4 linked regions of the Notamacropus eugenii genome follow. The protein of the gene in region 1 interacts with the protein of each later gene in a pairwise test. Links are inferred from orthologs where the notes say so. Each region holds a gene or a part of one and is shown in the gene's direction. Other genes may lie near its edges.

Evidence for each region.
Region 2: the proteins of EXOC1 (region 1) and CCDC88A interact in a two-hybrid assay, tested with the Homo sapiens proteins (2 studies listed by BioGRID and IntAct). The link is inferred for Notamacropus eugenii from reciprocal best matches to the Homo sapiens genes EXOC1 and CCDC88A.
Region 3: the proteins of EXOC1 (region 1) and SH3BP5 interact in a two-hybrid assay, tested with the Homo sapiens proteins (2 studies listed by BioGRID and IntAct). The link is inferred for Notamacropus eugenii from reciprocal best matches to the Homo sapiens genes EXOC1 and SH3BP5.
Region 4: the proteins of EXOC1 (region 1) and SFR1 interact in a two-hybrid assay, tested with the Homo sapiens proteins (2 studies listed by BioGRID and IntAct). The link is inferred for Notamacropus eugenii from reciprocal best matches to the Homo sapiens genes EXOC1 and SFR1.

The regions. Positions count from the first base shown.
Region 1 is NC_092877.1:107,216,295-107,224,398, forward strand, and holds the start of EXOC1 (exocyst complex component 1), read left to right. Parts: upstream 1-4,935; 5' UTR 4,936-5,165; intron 5,166-8,104.
Region 2 is NC_092872.1:650,806,393-650,813,867, forward strand, and holds the start of CCDC88A (girdin), read left to right. Parts: upstream 1-4,384; 5' UTR 4,385-5,259; coding exon 5,260-5,322; intron 5,323-5,429; coding exon 5,430-5,530; intron 5,531-7,475. UniProt on the Homo sapiens protein: Bifunctional modulator of guanine nucleotide-binding proteins (G proteins). Acts as a non-receptor guanine nucleotide exchange factor which binds to and activates guanine nucleotide-binding protein G(i) alpha subunits.
Region 3 is NC_092874.1:38,577,245-38,584,274, forward strand, and holds the start of SH3BP5 (SH3 domain-binding protein 5), read left to right. Parts: upstream 1-3,948; 5' UTR 3,949-4,187; coding exon 4,188-4,337; intron 4,338-6,635; coding exon 6,636-6,698; intron 6,699-7,030. UniProt on the Homo sapiens protein: Functions as a guanine nucleotide exchange factor (GEF) with specificity for RAB11A and RAB25. Inhibits the auto- and transphosphorylation activity of BTK. Plays a negative regulatory role in BTK-related cytoplasmic signaling in B-cells.
Region 4 is NC_092872.1:182,660,346-182,667,595, forward strand, and holds the start of SFR1 (swi5-dependent recombination DNA repair protein 1 homolog), read left to right. Parts: upstream 1-4,094; 5' UTR 4,095-4,201; intron 4,202-4,350; exon of another isoform or gene 4,351-4,607; intron 4,608-4,867; 5' UTR 4,868-4,900; coding exon 4,901-4,996; intron 4,997-5,306; exon of another isoform or gene 5,307-5,351; intron 5,352-5,478; exon of another isoform or gene 5,479-5,579; intron 5,580-7,250. Other genes in the region: glutathione S-transferase omega-1-like, read left to right, coding at 1,609-1,762. UniProt on the Homo sapiens protein: Component of the SWI5-SFR1 complex, a complex required for double-strand break repair via homologous recombination. Acts as a transcriptional modulator for ESR1.

The DNA.
Region 1 (8,104 bases):
ATCCATGCATGCCCAGCAAGACCACTACTAGGTCTGTATCCCAACATCCTTTTTTAAAGGAAAGGATCTGTAGCAGTTGTTTTTTGTAACAGCAAAGAATTGGGGAATGATCCAACAGCTGCGTTATATGATCATGATGAGATACCATTGTGCTATTGTAAATGGCAAGCAGGATGCTTTCAGAAAAACCTAGAAAGAGTTACATGAACTGATGAAGAATGAAATGAACAGAGCCATGAGAACATTGTATACTGTGACAGCAATTGCATGGTGATAAACTGTGAATAATTTAGCTATTTTCAGCAATACAATGATCCAAAACAAATCCAAATCCAAACAGGATGAAAAATGCTATCCACCTCCAGAGAAAGAACTGACAGAGTCAAATCAAAACATACTACTTTTTACTTTTTTTCATGGGTTTATTTGGTCTGTTTTTTCTTTCACAACATGTTTTACATGATTACACATGTATAGCCTATATCAAGCTGTTTGCCATCTTGGAGAGAAAAATTTGGAACACAGAATTTTTAAAAAGGGAATGTTGAAAATTGATTTTATATGTAATTAGAAAAAAATTATTAAAAAATAAATGATAAATAAATCAACCAAAAAAAAAAAAGAAATTACATGTGTGATAAATACAGAGAAGCCTGGAAAGATCTATATGAACTAATGCAGAGTAAAACACGTAAGCCAAAAAAACCAACATATACAGTAATTAATGTAAATCGAAAGAACAGACAGTAAAAAAGTAAAAAGTGAATATAAAATTATATAGATCAAGTGGGACTTGAATAAAGAAATATGAGAGGATGCACATCCCTTCCCACAGGTGTTACACATGGCACATGTTTTGAGATTTTTTTCAATGTATCTTCCAGTTGTGCTGATTTTTTTCCACTTTAAAAGAAATACTATTAGTTATATGGAATAGCTCTCTAGGAAGAAGAGGGGGAAGAACACTGGGAATAACCATGATAATGTAAGAAACAGAAGACATCAATAAAAGCTTATTGTGTTATAAATCATTTTGTAATAATATGTTGTAAGTAACATTTTATAAATAAATTATTTCCAGAAACAAAAGTATTGACAATGTTATAGTTTAAACATTGATTCTTAAGCAAGCAGTCAGTAAGCCCCTTGAGGCTTTTTGAGAACCACTATTCTAAAAGAGTCTTGGTTCAGAACCATGGACTGCTCTACTCAGAAATAATAGATAATTGTAAAATATCATGTTGCCATTATGATATCACTATCTTCCATATTCTTAGTCTCATAAAGACAGATCACGAAAATCATAGAGTTTCAGAGTGGATATCTTAGGGGTGGTTACTGTTCAGACGTTTTTAGTTGTATATGACTCTTCAGGACCCCATTTGGGGTTTTCTTGGCAAAGATACCGGACTGGTTTGCCATTTCCTTCTCCAGCTCATTCTACAGATGAGGAAACTGAGACAAATAGGGTTAAGTGACTTGCCCAGGGTCACAGTTAGTAAGTATCTGAAGCTGGATTTGAACTTAAGAAAATGAATCTTTCAGACTTAAGCACTATGGTGCCACCTAGTGCCCACTTTGGGGATAATCTAGTTCAAGTATTATCTAAGCAGGAATCTCCTCTAAGATACACCCCACCAATACTCATCCAGCCTCTACGGGAATACTCCTAGTGATGACAATGCTAATCTAGCTTCTAGAGTTCTCTTATTTATAGATATGTCTGGCTTTTTCTGAATGGCTTCTATCTTGCTGTTTAAAATACTTTATAGATGTTATCTAAAATGTTCACAAAAATCACTTAGACGGCAGTACTTGTTACCCGTATTTAGTGGAGAAGCTGACCCTCCTTAGGAATATGCTTTTATATAACAGTTACAATATAGTTTTTAAAAAGAATTATGTAGTGGTAAAGAAGTAGTCTGGTAAAGTGCATAGAAAGGCAGCCTCAGAGGCAGGAAGTCCTAGAGTCCCTGACTCTGACACATATAGGTTGGCTGACCCTAAGCAAGTCATTGAAATTCTTAGTGGCCTGGACAACTGTAGAAGACTGTACAGGGAAGAAAAGGTGCCGATTTGTATTGGTAAAGGGTGTTAACAACCTCAACTTGAGTTCCCAACTTTGTTGTGGTTTGTTTTTTGCCTTTCCTTGTATCCCCAGCACTCACCACAACCCCTGGAACATTAATAAATGTTTGTTGACTGTTGACTGAATGAATGAAATCAGAGGGGTGGTTCAGCCCATGTAGTGACATTGCATTCATATTTGCAATAAAGTCTAAAATTACCATAAAATACATCAAAGTTTGGGTCCCTTCCCCCATCCCATCTCATGACATTTACAAATAAATAATTCTATAAACCGCACTGTCTTATTGTTTCAAGGAAGTTATGTACTGCTTCCAGTGACATCAGTACTCTGACATCTGTGAAAATCTTCCTTCCTTAAGCAGATACATAGATAAATGAAGAATGCTAGGAAGTCTTTTAGCTTTCATGAAAGTGAACAATGCTAAAAATTTGAAGCGTAAAAAAGAAATGTAAAGAAAACAATTCCCAGGAAAAATGATAAACTCATAATTTTATACTCCTTAAGGGACTTCAGCCACCTGTTTCAACCAACAATCAAATGGAGTTTGAATAAGGGACTCAAAGGGGGCATGAACAGATTTGTAGAGTTGGACTTGTTTCTACAGGGAAAGAGATAAAATAAGCCCCCTTTCCTCATTCTGAAAGGTCATTCCGTAAGCCCAAAGGGCTTGGCACAATATCTCCATCTACCCATATTTTCATTCTTGTTAATCCTGAAGCCACCAAGCAAGTCAAGCAAATCTCCAAGGCAGCATGCTGATGGTAGATAGCAGACTACCAGGAAAAAAAATGTTGTTTCATAGGTCAAATGCCTGATTGTACTCTGAAGTAATATGACCTGCTTACTCAATTGTTTGCCAGGACCCTCACACCTCTGTCCCATTGTGTGAATTTGTGTAGATTGTGGATTGTCTGGGGAGAAACTTGCTCTCAGAAATGATAGGAAAGGACATTGTTGATTTCAAGAACCTTTATTTAAACTTCTTGGGCATTTTAGAGACAGACTCTCTATTCCAATAAATATTACTGATAGCAAAATTAATTAATCTCAGGTACAAAATTACAACTGAGGGAATGGATTGGAGGCAGATTTCTAATGACTCTTCCAGTTCTAAAATTCTACTTTATCCATGGTATAATTTACACAAATTTATGTTCATTTGTATAAGGATGGAGGTCTTTCCACTGCATTGCTGCCTATTCCTGCTTTTTAACTCTCCTTTCCTCCTTCATCATTAATAAATAAAATTGAATTTGGAATAAGACTGTCTGGGTTCAAATTGTGACCTTCTCATCTATAAAAGGAAGCTGTTAAGACTTACATCTACAAAATAGGTATAGAACTTAATGTTTGCTGCATGAGGGAATGCAAAACTGGGCACATTTTAAATCAGCCAGTTAACTAAATCCAAAGATCCCATTTTATATAGAGCATTAGGGATATAAAAGAGGTATAAGATATACAAAGTGCTTTGCAAACCCTAAAGTCTATATAAATGCCAACTATTATAGTTTCTGCCCTTTAGATTTTTCTACTTATAGAAATGATAAAAAATAAAATAATAATAAAAAGCAACATTTGAAATGTCAAACACCTATTACACAGAATTCTACTACCTGATAAAATAATTGAGTTAGTCTGTTGAAGGGCAGAACTCAGATACAAAAAAGAACATGAAGGAAGCACTGTAGTCCAGAGGCTAGACTAAATGTCATTGATCCCTGAAAACAAGGGATTCTTTTAATTTTATCCTCAGAACAACTTCAGGGATAAACAACATTAAAGGTCGCCTAGGAGTTCTTCTGGATATATGTGTGTACAGCACACATAGACAGACCAGAGAGAGAGAACAAGGGTGCGCAGACAAAAGCATTGGCAGTGAACCTCCAGTTGGAGAGCCCTTCCCATTCCAAAAGATAAGTGGTAACATCAAGTGATGGATAAGCAGTGAGGTTGGACTGAGGTCCTCTCAGTGCAAAGGAGGGTCTTTAGTCCCAGAAAAAAGTGATCTTTACCTGACGGACCACAGCAAGGATTCAGCCAACAAGGCGAAAAGGTGTTTTCTGCGGTGAGGAACAAACTCCTTTGATCATGTGATAAGTAAAGCATAGGGAATTTGCCTGAGGTGAACAGAGCTTGAGTAGACCAGCATGCCATGTTGTCAACCGAGGTCTGACGTAGAATTTGAACCTTGATCCTCCTGATTCTAAATCTACCCCCATCTCATGTGCCCCCAAAAGAACAAATCACTCAACAAAATTAAAAAGAAACTGGCAAAATAAGTATCTCTGTTTAAATTTCAGACCTTAGGCAAAGAACATCTCAAAGCTTCAGTCACCATAATGCTTTCCTGTAAATCCCACGAGGGCAAAGGCGTGTTTTTTTTAATCTTTGTAGGTGCAGCACCTCGTCCAGTGCTTTACACAAGGTAGATACAATACTTAATGTAACTTAGTAACATTCTGAGTGTCTCAGCGAATGAAACATTGTAGCCATCTGTGGTACAGCCCCCGTAGGAGCAAGTTTCCTCATTCAACTGGAAGACCCCAAATCCATCAACAAGTGAGGTGCCAAGCGATGGGGAATTAAAGACAAAAAGGAAACAGTCCCAGCCTTCAAGGAGCTTACATCCTGAGGCAGAGGGGTTTGGGTTTAAATTTTCACTAGCAAATTGAGCTCTCCCTTTAATTATTTAAAAATATTATTCTGAGAGGGTGACTACAGATTTCCCAAAGGTGCCCCGTTCCAGGGCGAAGTGACCAGAAGTCCACGGGATAGAGGGCCTGCCCCAGACCCCGCCCCCTCCCGGGTCTCCCAGCCTCGTCCCTATTGGTTCGCTCTGTGTTTGTCTGCGTCTCTCTCTGCCTCTCCCTCCCTCCCTCTCTGTGGTTCCTCCTTCCGGCTTGACTCCCGATCACGTGACCGGATGTAGGAAATGGGCGGGGCCGGAGCTTTTCCGCAGCTTCCTGGAGAGACGGAGCCCGAGGGAGAGAGAGAGAGCTCTCCGGCTAACTGCCGCGTCCTCGGCCCCAGCCCGGTGCCCTCACGGAGGAGCCTGCCCGGCGCGGCTCGGGTAAGGGGGAGGCGGAGGCCGCGGCCTGTGCGCGGTGACTTGGGAAAGGGCCGTGGTCGCCCCTCGGGGCCGCTCCTCTCCCGGAGAGACGCGGCCGTCATCTCCCCGGCGTCGCCCCTGCCCTGCCCCCCGCGCGGGCCCGGAGGGGAGCGTTCAGGCCGCGCCTTCTCCGCTCCTGCTCCGCGCGGGCCTGGGTCCGGGGCTTAGCTTCCTGACAGGATAATGGTCATTTTTGTCGTTCAGCGTCCTCCTGACCCCATTTGGGGCGTTCTTGTCAGAGATACCCGAGTGGTTTTTGCCATCTCCTCCTCTGACTCATTTTACAGATGAGGAAACTGAGGCAAACAGGGTGAAGTGACCTGGGTCACACAGCTAGCCATTGTCAGAGGCCAGATATTTTTTCTCGTACCTCCAGAGTCTTCCTTTTCCACTGAGCCCTGCAGGGAGTTAACCTGAGATCAGTGGACACCTCTCCCACAGGGATCTGCGGATCAGTTTTAGGGGGACCTTGAACTTGGATATGGGGGAAAAGAACCTGCATCTTTATTTTCACTAACCTTCATCTGAAAATTAGTATCTTCTTCTATTATAAATTTTTAAAATAAATTCTGGGAAGGGATACATGGGTTTCAGCAGATTGCAAAAGATGTTCACACAAAAAAGGATTACGAATTCCTGCTCTAGAGCATGTCTGGGTTTTCCCTTATGTGAGTGCATCCTGAATTCTCCACTCTCCCTGCAGCAAAGAAGGAATGATGCGTGGTTCCCGCAAATGTTCCCTGGCAAAAGTGAGTGGTGGCCAGCGCACAGAGTAGGAGTCAAGAACCGGGGGTTCTAACCTGGTACTGCTGCTATCCCACAGCAAATGTAATTGGTCTTGGATGGGTCCCTTGGCCTCTCAAAGACCCCAGTTTCCTCATGTTTGAAATGAAGGAGTTAGATACTCTTTGGCTCTAGCTAGAAACGTTTGTTGTATTACCAGAGTTGTACTATTCCAGAGGCCAACTGAGTATTTTTACCTTTGGAGTAATTTGTAATTTTCCTGTTTTTCCAGCTGAGTAGGAAAACACTATCTCCTGTTTAAATTGCATGTCCTCCACGAGATCTATTTTCTCATTTGTTTCATAACTAATTAGAATCAGTAATTATTACAGGTAGAAGGCACCTTAGAATTCATCTAGTACAAACCACTTATTTTACAGAAGAGAAAACTGAAACTCAGAGATTTTGTAAGTTGCCTAAGGTCTTACATTGAAGTAGTGGGCAGTCAGGTCTAGAATAGAGATCTCCTGATAAAATTCCTGCTAGTGTGCCATATTGACTATGGGGAAACCTTTTAGCCTTCTTACCATTATTCACTTTAAACCAAATCAACAAGTATTTATTGATCATCTTCTATATGCCCAGCATTGTACAAGACTCCATTTAGGTACCTTTTTGACTGTGGGCAAGTCACTTCATTTCTCTGGACCTGTTTCTTCATCTATAAATTAAAAAGTTGGACTAAACTATCTCTCAGATCCCTTCCAGCTAAAAATCTGCAGTCCTAAATACCAGACAGTTTCTGCCTTCAAAGAATCTTAGGGTATAATTGAGGAGTTAAGACAAATAAATGAAATACATACAGAAAAATACTTAAAGGATCCTTAGTTTCCTTAGTGACAGGCATTAGCTCTTCCAGGACAGACTACAACTTCTCTGTCCTAGCTGTGGTGTTTGAAGTACTGTAGATAAAAAAAATGTATGTGGTAGCTAAGCTGGCATTCAGGGTCTCCTTACTTAGCTATGCTAGTCTTCAGTTGACAGAAATACAGAAGAATAGCCAGACTTCCATTTGATGCCAGACCTGCCAGAGTTTACATTCCACAAACATAGAGAGCTTAGAGTCACCTCTGTGCCATGAGGAGGTATCAGATTAAGATTTTAGTGGAAAGAACAATATGATTAAGTGGCAGATTGTATAGTACATTAAATACTAGAGAGATCTAAGGGAAAAATCAACATGGGCTGGAATAGTACTAATTGATATTGGGTAGACCAGGAAGCGTCTCTAGGCCTTAGTTTCCTTACCTGTAAAATGAGAGTTGGACTGGGTGACATCTAAGATCATTCTAGTTCTAAGTCTTTGATTTATGATCCATTTGGACTTGGCTTCAGGGAAGAGCTATGACTCCAGTTGGATTTTGAAGAATGGTTAGAATTTGAATAGATGGTTGTAGTAGGGAATGAATGAATGAGTGAAGTACTTAATATGTGAAAAGCACTGTGCTACAAGCTACAAAAGCACTGGGGATACAAATATAAAAGTAAAACAGTCACTACTTTCAAGGAGCTCACATTCTAATGGGAGAGAACATATGTAGATTTTACCAATGTCAGATGACAAGGTCCCATGATCCTTAGGATGAAGTGGCAAAGCAGATGCTAATACTTCTTTAATGATATTTCCATTGATAAAATCAGATCATTTTGTGATGTTGAGACATTTGACAGGGCCAAGGACTTTGGTGGCAAGAACTTTCTTTTCTAGGTCTTTTAAACACCTGGCACACCTATAGGAACAGTTGTCAAACTGAATCTCCGCAAGGGTGGCTTTCCAGAATGATGGTTGTGGTCACCAAGCTGGAAGCATTGCTATTCCCAGGCTCTTAGGTTCAGGATCCTAGGTGTCTCCACCAGGGTCTGAGAAGGGATGATAGTCAATATAATGGTGGTGGTTTAACATGCCTCTTATCTTTCCTTCAGGGTGTCACATTGCTGCGTGACATGCCTTCTGTGAGAGTGACAGTTGGTGGAAATGACCCCTTCTCCAAAGGGGTCATTGGATGATACAACCATAATCAGATATGAAAGCAGGACTGGTGGCCTGGGGGCTTTTCTGCTTTCAGAGATCCTGTGCTCATTTTGGTCTGCACTTTTGCTAGTGGTTGTGGGGAATG
Region 2 (7,475 bases), on another chromosome or scaffold:
AAACCCTAGAATTTTGGAGAGGTAATTCTGTGTGTACTATTTCGGTCACTGTGTAGTATATTGCACTCCCCCTGCATGCAATTAATTATGAAATGTGAGTCACAGATCACTTATAGGCAACTGACACAGACTAAAAGTCAAACAACAGAAAGAGTTTTTTAAAAATTAGGGAAAAATCATGTGGAAAGCAATCCAGGGAAAAGGAGTTATCTTCCCTGTCTTCCCATTGATTGAAAGAAGAAGCCACCAACAGTAATGTCAGTCTGTTCCAACCTCCTCCATCAGTGTGCTTGGCTCTATAGAGAGAAAAGGTCTAGGGAGAACCTAATCTGCAATGATCAGAAGTTAGTCTCTGATCTCACATCAAAAATGCCTGAAAGGGCTTTTCTCTCTTCAACAGATACTCCACAGCAGCCACTAGCTTGTTGTTTCTGGAAACACAACTGAGAATCCAAACTGGAATCTGCCTAATGCTCCAGCTCATCTCCCTCTCCCCCAGTCATGGTCTCAACTTGGATAGCAATCCCAAAGAATCAATTATGACCTGTAGAACTTCAACTCTAATCATGAATATATCTGTATCTCTGAGGCACTCAGATCATAAATGTATAGTAGTTCCTTGGTCAGACTTAGAAATATTACCTGGTTGGATATTTAGGATTTTATTCAAACAAAAAACTTTTTTTACATTATTGTTAAATTAAGGCTATCTGTGAATTGTAGAATATTTAGATACTTATCACCAGGCCTTATTGTGATCTAAAGTTTCCTGGTTTTTCAACAAACAAGTTTCTTTTTCCCATTTTTTAAAGGAGAAAAATCAAGGGTAGGTTCGAAAAGGCCTAGGCTTGCCTGGTCAATTTGGGGGAACCCAGATTTCCTTGAGTGTTGGTTGGCTAATGTAACTAATGCAACTTCTATAACTCTCCCTTCACTAACCATTAGATTAAAAATTCCTTTGTTCATTTGTTATTAGTAATAACAAATAATAATGTCTAGCCAACATTTTATATAATACTTTAAGGCTTGCCAAAATTTCAAATAATCTTACTTGATCCTCACAACAAATCTGTGTGCTATATAATATGTTATCTCAATTATTGAACTGGAGAAGACCAAAATTCTAAGAAGTTAAGTGATTTGCTCACATCAGGAAGCAGCAGAATTTATATTTTATTTGTAAAGTAGTTATACTTTATACTGTTTGCTGAAACAAAGAGTAATCTCTGTCTTGAATTTTGTGGTAGGTCAGATGGGGATGGGAGTGTAGGTTTTGCATAAGTGATCATGAAGGCTGTTCACTAGGGTGCAATTGGTTGCAATGGTCACTGATGGAGAATGTATCCGTGTTGATGAAATCATATATCATTTGAAGGACATTTGAATGGATCTGACAACTAGTTATTTTGGAAGTTTCTTCTAGTGATTCCCATCCTATGTAACTCTGGTCTTCTTCCTCCTAAAATTTTACCTCCAGGAATCTATCCACAAGCAGAATAGGTCTTCCTTGAATCTAAACTATACAATAGTGCCAGTAGAGCACATGACCATCTACCTCTCACTCCGGACATATGACAAGTCCATCTTGTCTTTCTTTCATACGATTCTTGCTGACATCTTTTACAACTGTTCTTTTGTTTTTATGTTGCAGCCCTTTAATACCCACCTTGAATCTTTCCATTGCCTCTTTTGGTACTACTTGTCTTTAGTTTTTGGAGGGAGTGGTGTTTCAGATCTTCCTGAAAATGTTTGCATTAAAAAGATGGGCTTTTACTCTTATGGTAAGCTTGAGGGTCAATAAATATGCTTTGCAATCTCCTGAAAGCTCTATAAGCCTTTCCTCCTTTTCGACTCTGAGCCCAGCTCATTATTCATCTGTTTTTCTGTTCCAGATATACATGCTATTGGACAAGTTCTATTGGGTATCCATTCACATGTATGTGACACATGCCACAGTTGGACACACTGAAATTTCACTTTATCATGGTGATGTTATTTTGGTCCTCCTTGAAGACGAAGGACAACAACCAACCAACCAAATAACATGTGTGTCAAAATCTGGGCAGTAAACAGTCTTCATTCATTTGGTCTTTCCTGTGTGGGTAGAAAAGGCAAACTCCTTTGAGTGATTACAGATCTTTTTCAAGAGGCTCATGTCTTGGGGCTTTATGCAATCAACACAATGTCATCTGGAAGATCCCACCATCTACTGGGAATCCCTCCTTGATAGGGACTCATCATTGAATCTTCTTTTTCATGGTGGTATAGTGAAGCATTTACAGTGAAATTTAGCACCATAGTATTGTAGCTAGATGGGACCTTAGAGGTACCTAGTCCAAACCCCTTCAATGGAATTCATTATCTTTCCCCTCAAATCCTTCTCTCTTTTGACATTCCCCATTACTGTTGAGGGTACCACTGTTTACTCAGGTAACTTTCTGTTTTCATATCTCACACACATAAGTTGGTAAACTATTACAACAATTAAAGGAAGAAATGACAAGGACCTGAATTAAGGTGGTAACTTACTTGAGTGGAGAGAAGACATATGTATACACATACACATATGTATGTGTGTGTGTGTCTCCAAGAAATATTATGGAAATAGAAACAGCAAGATTTGAGAACTGAATGGACATGATAGGAGTGAGGAGTTGATGGTGATGCTGAGACTGCAAAGTTAGATATCTGTAAGGATAGTGCTTCTCTTATCATTAATAAGAAAGTCTGAAGGAGGGCTGGGGTTGAAGGAAGGAAAAGATAATGAGTTCTGTTTTGGATATGTTGAACTGAAGATGCCTGTGGGACATCCAGTTCTAAAACAACCACTTCAGCTGAGGTCATTGGTCTCTTCCCCTTCTGATGCATTTTCCACAAAGTTGCCAAGGTGATATTGTTAAAGTGTAGAGGTCCAACCAAGTCACTTCTCTCCACAAGAACCTCTAGTGACTTTGGGTTGACTCCTGGATCAACTATAAAGTCCCCTGTTGCTCTTCACAACCTGATCCTTTCCTGCCTTTAGAGTCTTACATTTTACTCCCCTGCACATATACTATGATCCAGCTATAGGCTATTTGTGGCTCCTCTTCCATGAAACCCCATCTTCAGTCTCCAGGTCTTTTGGGTGGCTCTTTCTCATGTCTGAAATGTTCTTCCTCTTCCCTGATGCCCATTAAAATCCCTGGCTTTCTTCAAGACGGCTCAAACTGCCTTTTCCTGACCCCTCAGCTGCTAGTGCCTTCCTCTCCAAGGTTAAGGTCCGTGTACTCTGTGTGTGGTGCATTTAGCTCTTTATTTGCATACCTCCTATATTAGAATGTAAGCTCCCTGAGGGTCTGCATTGTTTTGTTTTTCTTTGTATCTCTGGCAGTTAGTACAGTGCCTGGCACGTAGTGCTTGTGATTCATTGACAGGCGGGCAAACTGATGCCCAGGGGACTTGTGGCTTGCTGTACAGAGGCAACCCAGCTAGCAGATACCCAACCAGCCACGCTCTCTATCTCTCCTTTTATCTCCCCCACTCAAAAGAAAGCATTCCCCAGAAATGCCTGTCTTTAAGTAAGGAGAAGACTGTGTCTGATGCGAGATGGAGGCTGTTGTTGGGTGGGCACCGGACTGACGACGAGAAGCGTAGTCACCCCCGGTTCATCGATCACCCCGCCGGGCTGCTCCCCAGCGCCCCCTCGCAGGGGGGCTCGGCTCGGTTTTTGTCATTACTTTTAACGGGAGAGTAGTCTGTACGAGGAAGGGCCGGCGGCTCTCCATTGTCGCGGCGCTGCGCGCAGCCTCGGGTGTGAACGCGTGCTTTTGGTCCTAGGATCTGTGTTTCCTTTCCTTGTGATTGTCAAGGACATGGGCCCTCCGCGGGCTGGGTGGAAGTGACGGGGTCGTGACTCCGAGCACCCGAGCCTCCTTCTAGCCGTTTCGCGGGGGGGTGGGGGCGGGGGTGGGGGGACGCGAACGCACGGGATCAAATGCACCTATAACCGGACTCCCATTTCTAAAACAGAAAATAAAAATGCGGTTCGTCTCTTTCACAATTCGAGGAAGTCGGACAGAGAGAGTGGACACATCACGGGGATGAGAGGGGCAGACACAGAAAAGCCCTTTCCTTCTCTTCCCCTCCCCCATCCCCCATCCCCCCAGGCACCTCTTTTGACTGAGGCGGCAGGCGAGGACTGCAGCAGCTGCGGCGGGCGCGCGCGCGCGCTCCCCCGGCCTCTCCCTTGGCCCTGGGCGGCGGCAGCCGGGGAGCGCGCCTCGCTCGGGAGCGCGCTCATGCAGCGGTTTTCTTCTCCCACAATCCAGAGGCTTAGGCGCGGGGAGGGGTGGGAAGAGAGGAAAGTAGGCGGAAGGATATCGAGGGCGGAGGGAGCGAGCGCGTTCTCTTCCACGGGAGGGAGGCTGGCGGGCGTGTGCCAAGCCGCTTCAGAGGGTGATGCGGCTCTGCGGTTCGGAGCCGTTACTCTGACTCCTCCTGAAGGAGGAGAGGAGGCGGCGGCGGCGGCGGCTGGGGGGTGGGCACGGCCGTGATTTAGTCCCTGCGTGTCTGAGCCTAGGCAGGCTCAGCTCCGGGGAGACTCGCCGAGGGCCCCGGGTTAGGACAGCAGCGCCGAGCCCCCACCCCTGGGAGGGGAAGCGGGGCAGCCAGCGAGGTTTTGGGGCTACGAGAGGAGACATGGTATCGGTGGAGGAGGAAGGGGGAGAGCGTCGCCTTTGACTGGTGTGCGGCGGCGGCGGCCCGGGAGGCTCGGCAGCCCCGGACGCCCCCTCCCCTCCTCCCCGCCCCGCTCGGTCTCCTCAGCTCCGCGGAGCCCTCGCGGACGGCGGGGCATCTGCCTCGGGCGCTCGCTCACGCCGGGAGCCGATTGGTTTCGGGGAAGGGAGCTCCCCCCGGAGCGTCTCCTCCCGGAGCCGGGGAAGCTCGCGGGGCTTTTTGTCTCCTCAGCCCCAGCCCCCTCCAGATGCCTTTTCCCTGCCCCTCCTCGCCTGGTGCAGACATTGGCGGCTGCTGGCGGGGGCTGAAGCCGGACCCCGGGCTCCGCGATCGGCTGTCTCTGCTGCTTTGAGGAGGGACGGGGCTTCCCTCTCCACCAGGAGCTTCTGCTCCTCTGCGGAAATGGGGTTTCATTGATTCCAAGAAAAAAACTAGCGACCTTCCACCCATCCCCGTGGAAGATTCTTTTTGTTTTACCCCCCCACGTTGGGCTTAGTTTTTTAGAAAACAAAACAAACCACGAACGACACACACATCTGTAAGATGGAGAATGAGGTTTTTACTCCACTCCTGGAACAGTTCATGTCCAGCCCCCTGGTCACTTGGGTAAGTGGGGTCCCCCTAAGGCACTTTTCGTCTGGGGGCGGGGGATGCATCTTGCCGCAGAGAGGGAGGTCGGAGTTTGTTTAATGATGAAGGCCATTACATTTTAGGTTAAAACATTCGGACCTCTGGCTGCAGGAAGTGGGACCAATCTGGATGAATATGTAGCCCTGGTGGATGGTGTCTTCTTGAATCAGGTCATGCTACAAATGTAAGTACCTTTTCTTTCTCTGCCGGACATTTCGTCTTTGGTTAAAAACAAACAAAACCATTGTGAACTTCCAGTTTGGGGATTTGAAGTCATGTAGAGTTCTGAAACGGCTTTTTGTCCAGGTAGGTCCATGTGGTCTTTGAAGGGAGATGGTCCGATGCTGTCTGTATTTTGGTGGTATGATTTTTTAAAATTGTAAGGTGAAACAGAATATCGGTGTTTTTTCAAAAATTTTCATTTAACACCAGAATGTATTGTTCCGTGTTTGTTTTAAATATTGTAAATTCAATCCAAACTGTGTCATAATGTAGCTCCCTTACAAAATAAATTCCGCTTTCTGGAAAGAAGATGGAATGTATCCAGTTTATAAGAAAAAAACGGATCTCATATAAAGTACATGGATTTGTTGCATGGACATTTCTTTTGTACCTTTAGGATTAAAAAAATATTCAAATTTTGAATCTCTTAAAGTAACAGATTGTAGAAGATAGAACTTCAGACAATAGAAATGATTGGTCAGGACTATTGATGTGATTGTAAAAAGTTTTTAAGAAGTTTATAAAATCTGTGAACTCTTGCCAGATTTGCTGAGAGGACACATTTTTGGAGAATATTGAGGTTTAGATGCACAAAGCCTTTTTTTTTCCTTAAATGACAGCCAGTAGATTCTAAGTTGTCCAGTAGACACAACTCTTGGAGGAGGACACTAGTTTTTCACTCCTATGTCCACACAGCCAAGCAGAATGCCTTGCAAGTGCAATAGGTGCTTATTAAATGTTTGAATCGAACTAGATATGACTTAATAGTTAAAAACTCTTTGTTTCTTATGCTCATACTATATTGTATTAAGCAGTGAAGTGTGTTGCTATAGTGGAAGCTGATTATTGAAATACCATTTTTAACTGATTAAAAGAAAAATAAACACTTTTATTTTCATCAGTAAGTCAAATCTGTATACTTTGCCTTTTTAATAGAGGTTGCCAGAAATGAAAATGGTTTAAGTTCTGGACAAAGTGTAATATCATACTATCCGTATTAAGTAGCGCATGACATTTGGAACATTTGACATCAAGACATTTGACATTTTTGATACGTAGGAATTTAGTGCATTACTGGAAGCAATTGTTTTTAGGGACGTTTCCCAAAGAATGACAACTTGGATATTTTTTAGTTTACTTTTGTGTGTAAAATAATGTAGATCATATCTGCAAATTTATATACTGATAATTTTAAAGTGTATTTGATGGGTATGTTCTAATTCAGTGATTAACCTTTTTTTTGTGTCATGGACTACTTTTGCAATCTGGTGAAGCCTATGGACTTTTCAGGGAATAATATTTTTAAATGCATTAAATGCGTAGGATTACAAAGAAAATAAGTTATGTTGAAATAAAGATGTAATTTTGTCCAGTTCCAGTTTACACACCCCCTGAAATCTATCCACTAGGGGGTTTGTGAACCCTACCTTAAGAACCTCTCCTCTAAAGTAGTTTTTGTGCTGTTTTTCATATCTCTAGCCATAAAGCTATTGGACTGCTTAACATTTTCCCAAGTTGTCTTGTTTGCAAAATTTAAAATTTTTACATAATTTACTAATAATACAGTGAATAACATTTTTTGAATTGACTGCTTATTAAACATTGTAACCATTTCAACAAGTGTTTATTAAGGGCCTGCTTTGTGCCAGGTACTATAAATTGCTGACAGAGTGCTAATATGCATTGATAAAATGAGTTTCCTAAGTGGGAGTTCCCTATATCAATGAAATAACAGGTCTGGTTAAAAAAAAGAAAAAAGTGCCAGGCACCCTTGTAGGAACTGGAGATACAAACTTTATAGAAAGTTAGGTGCTTGAAAAATGTTTAGTTCTGGAACACTTAAGATGTTGAGAATCAAATAAAAAGCATTTGAATTAAACACATTTTCAAGGTTGCCTGATAGAAGA
Region 3 (7,030 bases), on another chromosome or scaffold:
TTTCCTTGACAATTTCTTGACAATATCTAGGCTCTTTTTTTGATCATGGCTTTCAGGTAGTCTAATAATTTTAAAATTTTCTCTCCTGGATCTATTTTCCAGGTCAGTTGTTTTTTCTAATGAGATTGTCTGCTATTTTTTCATTCCTTTGGCTTTGTTTTATAATTTCTTGATTTTTCATAAAGCCGTTAGCTTCTATCTGCTCCATTCTAATCTTTAAGGAATTATTTTCTTTAGTGAGCTTTCAAACCTCCTCTTCCATCTGGCTTTTTAGGCATTCTTCTCCTCATTGGCTTTTGGGATCTCTTTTGCCATTTGGGTTAGTCTATTTTTTAAAGTGTTATTTTCTTCAGTATTTTGGGGGGGTCTCCTTTAGCAAGCAGTTGACTCCTTTTTTCATGATTTTCTTGCATCACTCTCATTTCTCTTCCTGATTTTTCCTCTACTTCTCTTACTTGATTTTCAAAATCCTTTGTGAGTTCTTCCATGGTCTGAGACCAATTCATATATTTTTAGGAGGCTTTGGATGTAGGAGCCTTGACCTTGCTATCTTCTGTTTGTATGCTTTGGTCTTCCTTGTCACAAAAGTCAGATTCTATAGTCTGATTCTTTTTCTGCTTTTGCTCATTTTCCCAGCCATTTACTTGACTCGTGATCTCTTTGTCATAGTAGTTCTCTGATTCCAGTGGTGTTGGGGGTGTACTGTCAGCTGATTGATCCCCTCACAATTTGTGGACCTAGAGCTCCAGAAACAGTCTCTGTTGCTGCCCTTGCCCCTGCTCCTGCTGCCTTGGGCTCCTCCTCTGCAGGCTGCTCCACCCCCTCCACCACCCCGGGGCTGGGGTCAGACCACTCTACTCTCTCACACTGGTCTCACAGGTTTTTTCCACTGACCTTCCAATTTGTCCTCAGCATTTTGGGGTCATGAAGTCTGGAAATCGCCACAGGTGCCTGAGATTCAGTCCTTCCAAGGCTTGCTCAGGTCCCATCTGTGCTGGCATGGCCCACACTGTCCTGCGTTCTGCTCCCAGTGTGGCATGATAGACACTTCCTGGAGACCATCCAGGCTGTCTTGGGCTGGAAATTTGCTTCAGTCTGTCATTCTGTGGGTTCTGTAGCTCCATAATTTGTTTAGAGTAATTTTTTACATATATTTGGCTAGGTTTGGGGGGAAAGCACTAGCAAGTCCATGCTGTTACTCTGCCATCTTGGCTCCCAGTTTGTATTTTCTAGTAACAACTATATTATGCTTAAGATTGTGCCTGTGACTGAGGACTTGGCATCAAATGAATCAGAGAGATGGACAATTGTTTCACTAAAGTCCTTCTCCAGTGTTTCATCCAGGTAAAGAAGTGGTTCACTGATACTTCCAGAAACTATGCCCCAAGTCCCTAGGGGAGTGAATCTACTCAGCTTTTGGAGCTCCAGCCCTAGGCTGGGCTTCTGACCCTCAGCTGGGATTGGTGAGAGAATTCCCCTTGGTGACTACAGGCCCCAGAGCAGACCAGACTGCACATCCCATCCAGCCCTCTTGTATTGGTCTGGTCACTACGAGGTGTCCTGTACCTTTTTATCTCTTACTTTGGGTAGAGTAATCAAATCAATACCAACTCTCCTCCCATCTCCAGGCCATCTTCTTGTGCTGACTGTCCAACATTCATGAAATCCATTCTTTCCAACGTAAAGTCCCTCTCTTTTATGACGTTGCTCAGGTGCCATCTTCTGCATAAGGCCTTTCTTGATCTCCCCAACCACTAGTGGCCTCCCTCCCAAACTACTTTGTATTTAGTCTATTTGTCAACATGTATTTATAAATTTTATAATTATGTTTTATCTATTTTTAAATGTCCTTCTTGTCTCCCCAATGGAACATGAGTTCATGGTGAGTATCGATCATTCCATTGTTTGTACTTTTGTCCTTAGAGCCTGGCAAGGAGCCTGGCACGTGGTAGGCCTAAATAGATGTTTGTTGATTGATTAATTGCTTCTGGAAAGGTCAGATCAATGGATGGACCTATGGATCAACTTGGGACAGCTAGATGGCATAGTGGATAGAGTGCCCTGTTTGGAGTCAGGAAAATTCATCTTCACAAGTTCAAATCCAGACTATTTAAAGGGTGAGACTTCATAATTTGGAAATTGGCAAACTACAAGTTATGGCTTGATGTATTGATTTGCTGATTGTCTAGATTTGAGAAAGTGATGGAAAAAATGTTAATAATGCAGATAAAACTTTAAAATGTGTCTAACTACATTTCCTTCCCCACAGGAGAGCTGGGTGTTAAACATTTACCAGCACATCCCTGCTTTCACCCCTTTGTATCAGGAAATTGGTCTGGCCAATCTGAGATATTCACGAACAGTCTGACTGAAGTCTGGAAGGAGGATGATTGGAGAAGGTAAATGAAGGAGAACGGAGCACCATAGACTCATACTGGGGGGCTCCATTCCAGGTACCGATACAGAATGAGAAGGAAACTTTCAGACCTTTTAGTCCAAACCCCTCAGGAGGGTCAATTAGAAACAAGATTACAGATACCTAACTGGGCCAAGTCACTTCATTCTTCTGCACCTGGTTTTCTCAGCTATAAAAATGTATTCCATATAGAAAGGGAGATGCTTGAGGGCCAGGACTGTGGTTTTTTGTCTTGAGGGTAGGTGTGGAAAGACTAGCTATTAAGTCACAGAGGCTTCAGAGCCCTCCTGAATGCTTACTATTAGTGTGACTTTGGGCATGTGACTCAAGCATAACAGGCTGCATTTATATAAGGTTTGTAAAGCATTTCAATGTATTATCTCAACCTGGGTCTCAGTTTCCTTCTCTGAGGGCCCTTCCAAGTCTGGATGTAGGAGCCTATGGTTTGTATCCCCAGCACCTGGCATGGGTTGGACTGTATCAAGGACCATTTTAGTGGGGTATCTTTTGGTATCCTCTGGGCTTAGCACTGGGTGCCTGGTACATAGTAGGCATAAATATTAAGCATAAATATTTATTGATTCATATGCTGCTTTGCCCATCTGAAAAAGTCTATAGACCCCTTCTTAGAGTCACAGTTTTTAAGTAGTTGAAAGAAATGCTGGATTTCGGTTGGAGATTAGTGAAAATAAGATGGATACCCGCCCCGCCAAGTTCAGAGATACCTCCACCCAGCAGCCCTCATCTCTTGGACTGTTTGATCGATCCCTAAGGCTCCTTCCTGTTCTAACTCATGAGGCTCCAGTGGCAGGAGCAGGTTTAGAAACCAGGTGTCTCCTGCTGCCCCATTACCCAAGGTTAAATAGTGAGACAAACAGATTCTTCCCTCTCTAAAAAGGCATTTTAAAAGATACTTAGGTTGTATGTATGTATATACATATACACACATATAGTCATATATATATGTACACAATCTAGTTACATAAAAACTATATGTTTATAACGATATGCATAGTTATAGTTATACACAGTATATCACTACATAGTTATTCGTATACTATACCTAACATATTTATAACGATATAGTTACGTAGTATATGTAACTATCCTTATCAATATAGTTACATATGATTACATAACTTTTGTAACTACGGGGTATGTATAACTGTGTAGGTAGTTTTACGCGTCCCATATGTAGCCACGGATTTATAAGTATAAACATATAAGGAACTATCTGTCCAGTCACCTATCCTATAACCAAGAGACTCTGCCCCCAGCTAGGACCAGAGGCTTTGCCAATGGGCTCCTTGCTCGGCAGTGACTGCCGGCTGCACCGTCAATACAGAATTACAACCAAAGCTCAGTTCCAGCCCCTGCTCCCTCATTAGCCGCTGGGAGCTGCGTCCCTCGGGCGGGCCGGCTGGGCCGGGCCGGGGGGCCTCGAGGGTCCCGACAGCAGGGCAGGAGAGTGGGAGGGGGCAGGGCTGCCCAGGAGGAGGGAGGAGGCCGGGATGCTGCGCTGACAGCATCGGCAGAAGGGGCGGGCGCCCGCGTTTCCTCCTCCCCTTCCAGCGGCCGCGGCCCGGCCCGAGGGGAAGACGAGCCTCCCGGGGCAGGCTGGCCAGCCGGCGTTCCTGGACGCTGCCGGGGTCTCGGGTGTCCGCCGCGCTCAAGGGCCACACGGGCAGGCTCCGCACCGCTGCGCTCCGGAGGCGCTCAGAGCTCCCGAGGGCGCCCGGCCCGGGGCCGTGCTGCACCCCAACCTGCCCGCATGGACGCGGCGCCGAAGCGGGGCCGGCCGGAGGAGCGGCTGGCAGAGGTGAGCCCTTCACCGCCACCCACGGGGGACGAGGACGAGGACGAGATGGAGCCCGAGATGATGGAACAGGAGGAGGAGGAGGAGGTAGACCCCCGCATTCAGGTACGAGGTGGGGGGCGTCCGTGGGGGTTGCTGCACCCCCATTCTAGGCGGTCCGGGTTCGTACACCCCCATCCAGCCCGAGCTGACACCCCCACCCTGAACCACTCCCTCCCCCAGTGGGTGCGGTACGCCCGCGTGGACTGCAGGCAGGGGAGGGGGCTGCTTGATTTGGGCCGGAGCTGGGGTTTGGGGGGACGTGGCGGGGGTCCGGACACCCCTTCCTCGGCGAGGCCTCCCCACTTCGCCTACCGCACCCACGCGCGCTGCTCGTGGGCTCCCGCTGTTGGCAGCCCCCTCCGACAGCATCTGGGGATGGAGATGATAGCGGTTCACCGGGAGGTGGACAACAAAGGACAAATGGGGGGGGCTAGTGGGAGGCTCCCGGCCCCGCACTGGCTTGGCGGTGGGAGATTTAATTCCTCGCTCTGCCCCTTGGGTCAGTGCCTAGTTGTAGCGCTTCAGCTCTGGGTCTGGCCACGAAATTGCTTAACGTCCTGGCTCCTTCCTTTTCTCGTGCACCGAGAGGACTCGTCCCGTGACCAGGGTCTGCCCCCACCCTCATGGGCATCGTCGCGGTGGGAGCAGATGTCCCTCAGGGACCCATTCTGCCCAGGACCTCGGCTTTCCCTAGCCGAGTGTGCAGGTGCCCCGACCCCAGGTGGGGTGAGTCATCGGGGCATCCCCATAGGAAAGTCTTCCCTTTCCTCTAATTCATTGTTAGCCCGCGTGGTTTCATTGTCACTTCGGTGGGGTTCTCGCTGCAGAGCAGCCCCTTGGCCTGAGTCCTTACAGCAAACCCTGGGTTTTTTCCTTGTTGTTGGGGCTGTGGTCAGCGAATAGGTGGCTGGGACAGGAGGGATTTAGAGCCGCCCTGCCGAAATATGGGGCAAGGGGAGCTTTCTGGCTTCTGACTCCTAAAAACAAGTTTAAAAACCCAGTAAGGTCAGAATTCAGGCAGAGATCTGGCTTCGAGAACTCACCTTCCCTCTCCTAGAACCACCTAACTCATAAACACAATACAATAAATGATGTTTTCCAGGATCTTGCCTCTTCCTCCACCCCGAGGTCATTTTTTCTATTGCTTAAAAGCTCTTACGCAATTTTTTTGAGCCCTAATTGGTTTTTCAGTTCACTAATCAATTAAAAGATCATTTAACTCTATGGATGGGGTTTGAATGAATTGTTGGAACCGATTAGCAAGATAAAGGTCAGGTGGGAAATCGAGAATGAGGCTTTTGAATGAAAATAATTCAATTTCTCCTCCTTGAAACCAGGGCTTCCCACCTTCTTTGAGGCTCCGAGCAAGGTTCTTTGTTTCCGGAGTATCGATCACACAACTTTAACTCTCTCTTTTACAAACCCCAATTTTCAGTGCCAGGGACAGGGTCATAATAAAAGTTCTCCGGTGTAAGAACCGCTAAGGCCATCGGCTAGCTCGCACCGTTTTTGTTTTTAATCCATTCATTAACAAAGAAGAAAAAAGCCCTCAGCACCTTCTGAGCTATTGTCAGAAGTCAGGCCTTTGATTTACAGTTTTGGGAGCTGGGTAGATTCTTGACCTCGATTTATTTTTGGACTTGCAGGCTTCCTTTCTTACCATGTTAAAAAGATAGTCAATCAACCCTTAGCTCTCGGGCACTCACCCATGCCAGGGTAGCAGATTCTACTACTCTGAAGTCAGGTTCCTGGAATAAGTCTTTGCATTGTAAGCAAAGAGAAATAACCCTTGGTGGGATTACCAGAAAAAAAAGACTTAGTCTTAAAATCTTACACAAACACACACACACAAACACACTCATACACTCTTAAATGGTGGTTTCACCATCTCCTCTTCCCGCTTAACCAGGGACCCCTTTCATGGAAAGGTTTTTAAAACATGAGAAAGTTCATCCATGTTTCTGTTTCTAGTTAACATTCCAGCTAGAGCCTGAGCTATTTTCTTTGGGATCGCTGTCAGGATTAATAATTCTCCCTTAATCTTCTATTTTGTTCCCTTTGTGTCTGCTTCCAGGTAATACACTAGCTTTACTTTAAAAAAAACAAGCAAACAAAACTATAAATCTTTAAATCAGGCATTCTTAACCTTTGTTTGAGTCATGTTCATTTTGAGTCATGTTTAAGGTGTCAGGTGATGTCTTCCTTTCTTAGAAGAATGTTTGTATGTTATTGAAAGAAATGCTAAATTCTAGTTAGAAATTAGTGAAGATAGAGATTTCATATTCCCCCCCCCCCCATTCCAGATTTGCAGACCCCTCTGGTTAGGAGTCCCTGCTTTAAACTGTTTCCTTCTTTCCCCAGGGGGAACTGGAGAAACTAAACCAGTCCACGGATGACATCAACAGACGGGAAACTGAGCTGGAGGTATAGGTTTCTGTGTCCCCTTCCCCTCTTCTGTGAAAGGGTTTCCATGGGACTCTTATTTTGGCCTGTTGTTTGATTTTAGTGGTCGTGAGATGAGCCTTGGGGTTGCCTCCTTGGGAGCTTGGCCAGTAACTAACTGAAACAGTTGGGTTCAGACAGCTGAGCCTGGTTTCTCATTCCTGCTCTGCTTTTCACGACTGGAGCTGGCTCAGCCAGGCTCAGTCTCAAAGGTCTGCATTGCATCACCTAGACCTAAGTGTAGGCCTGATGGATCTGGGGAGAACAATCCAGGATCCTTGGGGCCCAGCAAGTTGCCTCGTGTCCAGATTGTG
Region 4 (7,250 bases), on another chromosome or scaffold:
AAGGAGCTAGGCCACAATGTTCGAGGACTGTTTCTGATAGACTTAGCCCTTCCCAGCAACACAAGAACCTAAAACATTCCCAAAGGACTCGAGGGAAAATGCCATCCACATCCAGAGAAAGGACTACGAAATCAAAATGCAGAAGGAAGCAGACTATTTTCTCTTGTGTTATGTTTTGGTTTGGTTTGGTTTTTCTCATGGTTTCTCTTATTTGTTTTAATTCTTCTATGCAACATGACTTTTGAGAATATAACTGTAGAACCCATATAAGATTGCATGCCATCTTGGGGAGGGAGAGGAAAGGGAGGAGGAAAACATTTAAAACATATGGAAGTGATTGTTGAAAACTGAAAACAAATAATCCATTAAATTTTAAAATATATATATATATATATATAAAAGGAAATGAAGAAAAGAGGAAAAGAAAGGAGGTAGAATGATCTGGATGTGAAAATCTGGACACAAGACAAAGTTTGGACTCAGATAATCAAGAGGGATGTAGTGAACTTCAAAGAAGCAGATGCTTGCTGAATGATGATAAGAAAGGGACAATTTGAAAATAAGAGTAAGGAAGGCGTATACCTATTCTTCCTCTGTGGGATCAAAAATTGTCCAATCTGCAAGAAAAGTCCCTCAGTCACAGCTCCAAGCCAATAGCATATTATTAAAGGGTCCATGGCCCCCTCTAATGAAGTGGACCTCATATCTTCCTCGCAGTTGGAGACACCCTTGATCACCAGGACCTTGTTTATATAGGATTGATACCTGGACGCTTGAGAGGCGACACAAAATACAAAATCCCATTGGTTGATAAACCTTGTTTTGAGGGCCAAAAATGGTGCGTCAACTAAAAAACAGTTTATCAGCAAGGGGATCCTAGGTTGGGTAAAGCACACAACGTCTCTATTGACTAATTATTCATAATATGGCAAAGCAATAGTCATCTTTGGTGACTAAGGAGTCATAAGATGGTTACCTTCTGGGACAAGAGAGAGTGGTTTGGAGGTACAAAAATTAGCTGGGGAGACTTTCCAAAGAATTAAGGCATCCACACTGGGTTTGGACTTGGAATTTGAGCAAAACAGGATGAAGTTATCTTTGTCAGCATTCTTGTGGGTGTGCAAGTGAGCTTTGTAACTGGTAAACAAGTGTTAAAAACTGGATTAAAGTTGGAAGCCTACTATAAGAACCTATCTTTTCTAATTATCCATATATGATTTACATAAAATATCAAATTTATTAATACTGATTAGAATAGAGTAGGGGTCTAAATGAACCTTTCCTCACACCTTCTAACCCACTATGATAGGGAAAATGAGAAAAACACAGAAATTCAGACCCAGAAGGGACTGCAGGCTCCATCTAGTCTAACTCATTGCTGAAAAAGAATCCCCACAATACTGCTCCCCCACATTTCCCAGTCCTAGAGAGGGTGGCCAGGGGTACAGGATGGTCTGTTCAAGGTGGGGAAGTATTTTTTAAAGGTTATAGTAAAAAATGAAATAAACTGCAAGGAAAAATACTAATAAATGTGAAAATTTGTGGTGCTTTCCGATTTCATGCAAGTAATAACTCCCTTCTTTTTTTAAAAAAAATCTCTTCTCTCAGTTGTATCGACCACACTTCAAAACTGAAGCTCTGGGTAGCAGCCATGAAGAAGGATCCTGCAGTATCAGCCTTCCTGACAGATGAGAAAACTTATCAAAATTTCATGGATCTCTATTTTCAGAACAGTCCTGAGGCCTGTGATTATGGTCTGTGAGGGGAGAGTGATCAGCAGAAAAGGTTCTATACCTTGCTCTCTAGGTTTCCCTCCATACTAATAAAAATCATATCCTGTATGGAATGTTGCATAATTTTTTTACAGATTGTTCTCATACCCATCCTCTCCTTTACACTCATTCTGTTTCCTTAGCTTGATGCTTCCTCTTTGCATGTCCCACAAGGCCTTTGAGCCTTCCTCTGGATGTCTTACTCCTACAGTGAGCTTGTGCTATCAGCTCTCTACTGATTATGAAGATTCTCAAATCAATATTTTCTACATTTTGGTCTCTTAATGCCTGAAGCAAATGTTTACTTCAATGTGTTGCTGTCAACTTGAGCTCACAACTGTAATGGAATTAATCTTGTCTTCACCAATGGAACTCCTTTCTAATTAAAAAAAATTGTGGGATACAGTTGAATGTTTATTGGAGTAATTGCTATGGATTTGTACGTAATCAGAGGATCTGGGTCCAGATTTTGGCTCTTTTGTGAACAGGGGCAAAGGACATCATCTCTCAGCTTCCTCTCTTATTAAAGTGAAGATCAGAACAGCTACCATTCTATCAGTGCAGCCTCTCTATCTCTTATCTCAAAGCCCTTTTGCCTCTGGCAGCCTGGAAAGCTGCAAACCTCTAGAGGGTGGCTGCCTACTTCTTTCCTGAGGGTTCAAGGTGTAAAGATGAGTGACTGGGGGTTTCTTTTTAATGCCATTGCCCAGCAGCCCCCAACTGATTATGAGGTCCTATCAATTAGCTAGCCAGACTTAACCTTTAGAAAGAAGTATTGATTATGCTAGTATATTAAGAAGAGTGCAAAACATCTCCTCCCATCCCCCCAAACGGGAGTACTGCCACAAGTGCATATAAAGTTCAGGGAAACGTGGGCTAGGCTTGGAAATCACGTGTGGCAAAGGGGTTGCTCCTTTTTGTAAACTGGAGCGCACTCTAGGGAATTTAGATCTCTCTTCTCCCCAAAAGGGGAAAACAGCCTGAGAACACAAAGGCCAATTCTTGAGATCCAAATCCCCCTTTTCCCTAAAGGGAAGAAAACCAGAGAAAGACAATGCCTATGAAATTAAAGGTTTTATTAAGCAGGGAAATAAGACGTGCATGGGAGCCGTCAGCCTAATGCTGAACAACTCAACTGAGCAGTGGGTAGGATGATATAAAGAATTGGGAGAAAAGGCAGGAATTAGGTTGGTCCAAGGAAGGAAGGAAGCAGAGGGTCCCATTCCCAAGGGGAGGGGGAGATCCAGGAAATGGGTAGGGGAGTGGGGAATTCCAGGGGTCAGAGCCGTGGCCTTTTGATGGATAAATCAGAAGATACTCTTGGTAATAACCAACCTTGACAGCTACAGGCTTGAGCGTAAACAATAAGTGTTTATCATAAACCCAGGATCAGTGTGTAAGCGCCCCCCAACAAGAGTGAGGGGAGTCTCCGAAGGTAAGCTTGTACCTCGAAGGTCTACACCTCACACAAGCGTCTGCTTTGGGGTGAAGCGCTCACTCGGCTTCGGAGCTGCCCAGGCCTGCGGGGACGTCACGCCACTTTCCAGCTCAGCTCCCCACTTCTCGGTGGGATCCCTGCTGGGGAGCAGGCGCGTTCACAAATGCACTTGTACCCTTACGTAAGGGGCAGCGCTCTGCCGCCCCCCGCGGAGTCCTGAAGCTGGGCCTCCCCTGGGCCTGGTGGAAGGCTTGGGGGGGGAGAAGACCGGCTCTCCCCTCCCACCCGGGGCTTACCCGGCTCTCCCAGGTCCCGCGGACTGTTGTTTTTCCCGGGCTTTTCTCGGTCAAGCACTGGGTGGTTCACCATTCTCTTCTCCAACTTATTTTACATTTGAGGAAACTGAGGCAGACAGAGGCCTTGCTCCGGGTAACACCGCGGAGCGGAGAAGCCACATCAGAGCTCACACCCCGACCCCGGGCCGGGGCTCCCCTCCGGGCCGGGGCTCCCCCGCACTGCGCCGCCAAGCCGCACTTCCAAGACGACGCCTCCGTCTTACGTAACACAGGCTATGAGAGTTAACCCCCAAAGCACTAGGAAGTCATGGAGGGGGAAGGGCCAGGGGATCTCAGGGATTAGGGAATTCCCATGGGGCACTGCGCGGGGAAGGAGGGCACAGCGGCGTCCGAGCCAAGGATCCGTTTCAGGAGAAGATGGAGGGGGTGGGTTTGTGAATTAGGGCGTGTGCAAGGCCGAAGTTCGAATAGGTTCGAATTCTGCCTTGGATTCTAGCGGCCTCTTGGACCTCGTCGAGTGTAACCGGGCGGCTGCAAAGGGAGATGGCCCCGATCCGTTCTGTTGTGGAAGCTGGACTTGAAGCGGAGGGGATGACGCGGTGGCAGCTTTGGACTACGTTTACCAAGATTCGGGGCCTAGACGTCCTTACGTAGCTCTTTAGGGAGTGGCGGAATAAAAGCGCGCAAACGCCGAGGTAGGCTTTTTAAATATCTAGTAGGAGTTCCAGGAAGCAAACAAAAGCCCCGCCCCTCCCCGCCCCCCTCGTTCCTGCCCCGCCTTTTCCGCTCGGCTGACCAATGATGTCTCGTCTCGAGTTTGGTTATGTTTCCCGCCAAGCGAAGAAGGGGCGGGGCGTGGATGCCGGTGGCCTGTAATCCCCACCCCAGCGCGCGTGCGTACAGCGAGGCCGTTTCCTCTGTCTGGAGTGGGTGGGGCCCATTCTCCTAGGCGGCCCGCGCTTCTGGCAAGCGCCGCCTCAGGTGCGTTCTCGGACCGGAGCGGCAGCGTGTGTCCCCGGCCCGCGAGTAGGAACGAACCCCGTTTCTGAGCCGAGGCCGGAGTCCCGGCCCAGCCAGCAGCTGGAACCGCCCTCCCCAGAGGCACGCTGAGGCAGCTGGGCCTGGGGTTCTTCTGGGCCGCCCCGGGGCCGAGCGCGCCTCCGGCCGGGCTGGGGCGGGGCTGCAGCGGAGCTTGGGAGCCGCGGGCCCCGGCCCCAGGGTGGCCCGAAGCCTCGGGTCAGAGGCAGCCCCCCTCGGCCGCGGCACCGGAGTCACAGACAGGCCTCAGAACTGGGCTCGGGTCCGGGGAGGGAGAGGTGGTTGGAGGTTGGAACCTAGTTTGTTTCCTGTTTTGTTTCTAGAGCAGACCTGAACGTCCTCCTGTCCATCCGGAGATGGACCTTCCCTCAGCTAAAACCACGTCCTTAGCGGCTGCCCCCGAGGCCGGCGACCCCGGGACACTAACTCGGAATAATAGTCCGGGGAAACAGGTAGGAAAAGCGCCCCGAGACCTGGCAGCCCGGGCGCCGGCAGCCCGGGCCCTGGCACCCCTGGCAGCCCGGGCCCCGGCACCCCCGGCGCCCCCCTGCCTCTCCAGGCTCAGGCAGCCCCCGTGGGAGATCAGATCCAGAGATGACTCGTTGAGGCCGCTTGTTTGATGGAGAAGGAGCCAGGGTCAGTGGAGGTTAGGTTTTCCCAGGCAGTAAGCAGCAGAGGTTGGATTTGAATTCAGGCCCCTGACTCCTCGCACCGTCCTCCGTGCTTGGGAAGGTGTTGTTGAAGCCCATCCCTCTCCTCCAGAGCCAGCCCCTGGACGTTTCCTCCTGAAGACCTTTCCCCATAGAGGTACCCTGGGGGTCCCTCACCTCCATCCCTTTCTTAAATCACTTTTCTTGGACCAGTCCTTTGCATTTATACTTTTTCTTGTGTTTTTTATAATAATCTTCCGCCCTTCTCCCCCACCCTCCTTTAGATTAGAAGCTTTTAGAGATGGGAGACGGCTAGGTGGTCCTGTGGATAAAAGGGTAGACCCAGACTCAGGAAGACCTGACTTCAGATCCAACTTCAGACTGGGCAAGTTACTTACCTCTGTTTGACTCAGTTTTCTCAGCTGTAAAAAGGGATAATGCCAGTGTTGTTTTGCGGATCAAATGAGATAATATTTGTAAAGTCCTTAGCACGGTACTTTACAGATAGATGCTATATAAATATTTATTTTCCCCCCACTTACCTGGGCGAATCTTTAACTTCTCAGAGCTAAAGTTCCTCCTTTGGTAAAATAAGAGTTGAATCAAATGATTTCCAAAGTCTCTTTTAACTTTAAATCCTATGATCTACTTTATACACTGTGCTCTGTAATAGAAACATTCAGTCAAGGACTATACATTCTACTTCAGTAGAGTTAAAGCATTTTGCAAATCTTTTAAAAAAAACCAAAACACTTTAGTCTTACCATACCCCATCCTTGTCTTCTCTGTGGTGTAGTGAAGTAGTCATTTCAGTTCAGTAAAAAGCACCTTCTCTCCGCTCTGCTTAATTATGACTGCCAAGTGTTTATTTAGTCAGTCAACAAACATGAAGCATCTGTTAGGTTCTAGGCACAGTACCAAGATCTGGGGAGGCTAAAGACAATCCCTGCCCTCATGGAGAACAAGATCTACAGGGAATGACCACAAGTAAACAAATAAGTGCAAGCAAGCTTTATTTTGGATAAATAAGAAATAACAGAGGGAAGGCACTAGAATTCATTTCTTCCTGTAGAAAATGAGATTTTAGTAGGGACTTAAAAGGAAGCCACTATTGTTTTTGCATGCAATTGGGAAATAAGATGTTTGGGTAAGAGGTATAGAAATCTGTCTTGCCCAAAGGTAGGGGTGATAGAAGGGATGACAGATTGGGAGAAGGGGTTTTTGGGGTTGCTGTCTAGGGGTAGGGATTGGGGAGAGAAGGGGAGAAAATTGGAATTCAGAATCTTGTGGAAGTGAATGTTGTAAACTGAAAATAAATTATATGTTAAAAAAAAAATTTTAAATCAAGAAAAAAAAAGGAAACCAGTAGATGGAGATAATGAGGGACAGCATTCCTGGTATGTGAGACAGCCAGAGAAAGTGCCCAGAGCAGCTTATTTGTTTGAATAGCCAGGAGGCCCAGTGTTTGGATCAGAAAAAATGTGATGGGGAGTAAGGTGTAACAAAATTGGAAAGGTAGGGACTAGGTTATGAAGGGCTTTGAATGCCAAATAGAGGATTTTGTATCTGATCCTAGATTCCATAGAGAGCCACTGGGGTTTATTCAGGAGAGAGGTGATGTGATCAGATGTGCACTTTAGGAAAATTACTTTGGTGACTCAATGCAGGATAGACTGGAGTGAAGAGACCCACCAGAAGGATACTAGAATAGTCTAAGTTTGAGGTGATGAGCACCTGAACTTAGAATGGTAGCAATGTCAAAGGACAGAAGGTGGCATCTGAGATTTGTTTTGAAGGTGAAATCAACACCTTGGCAACAGATTAGATATGGGGAGGGTATGAGAGATAGTGAGGACTAGGGTAAGGTCCAGGTTGCTCACCTGAAGGACTAGTAGCATGACATTGATCTCTGTAGTAATAGAAAAGTTAGGGCAAAGGGGAGAAGAGGGAGAATTTAGGAGAAAAGATAATGAATTCAGTTTGGGACATGTTTGAGAGGTCTACTGGACATTCAGTTCAAGATTTCTGAAAGGCAGATGGAGATGAAAGATTGGAG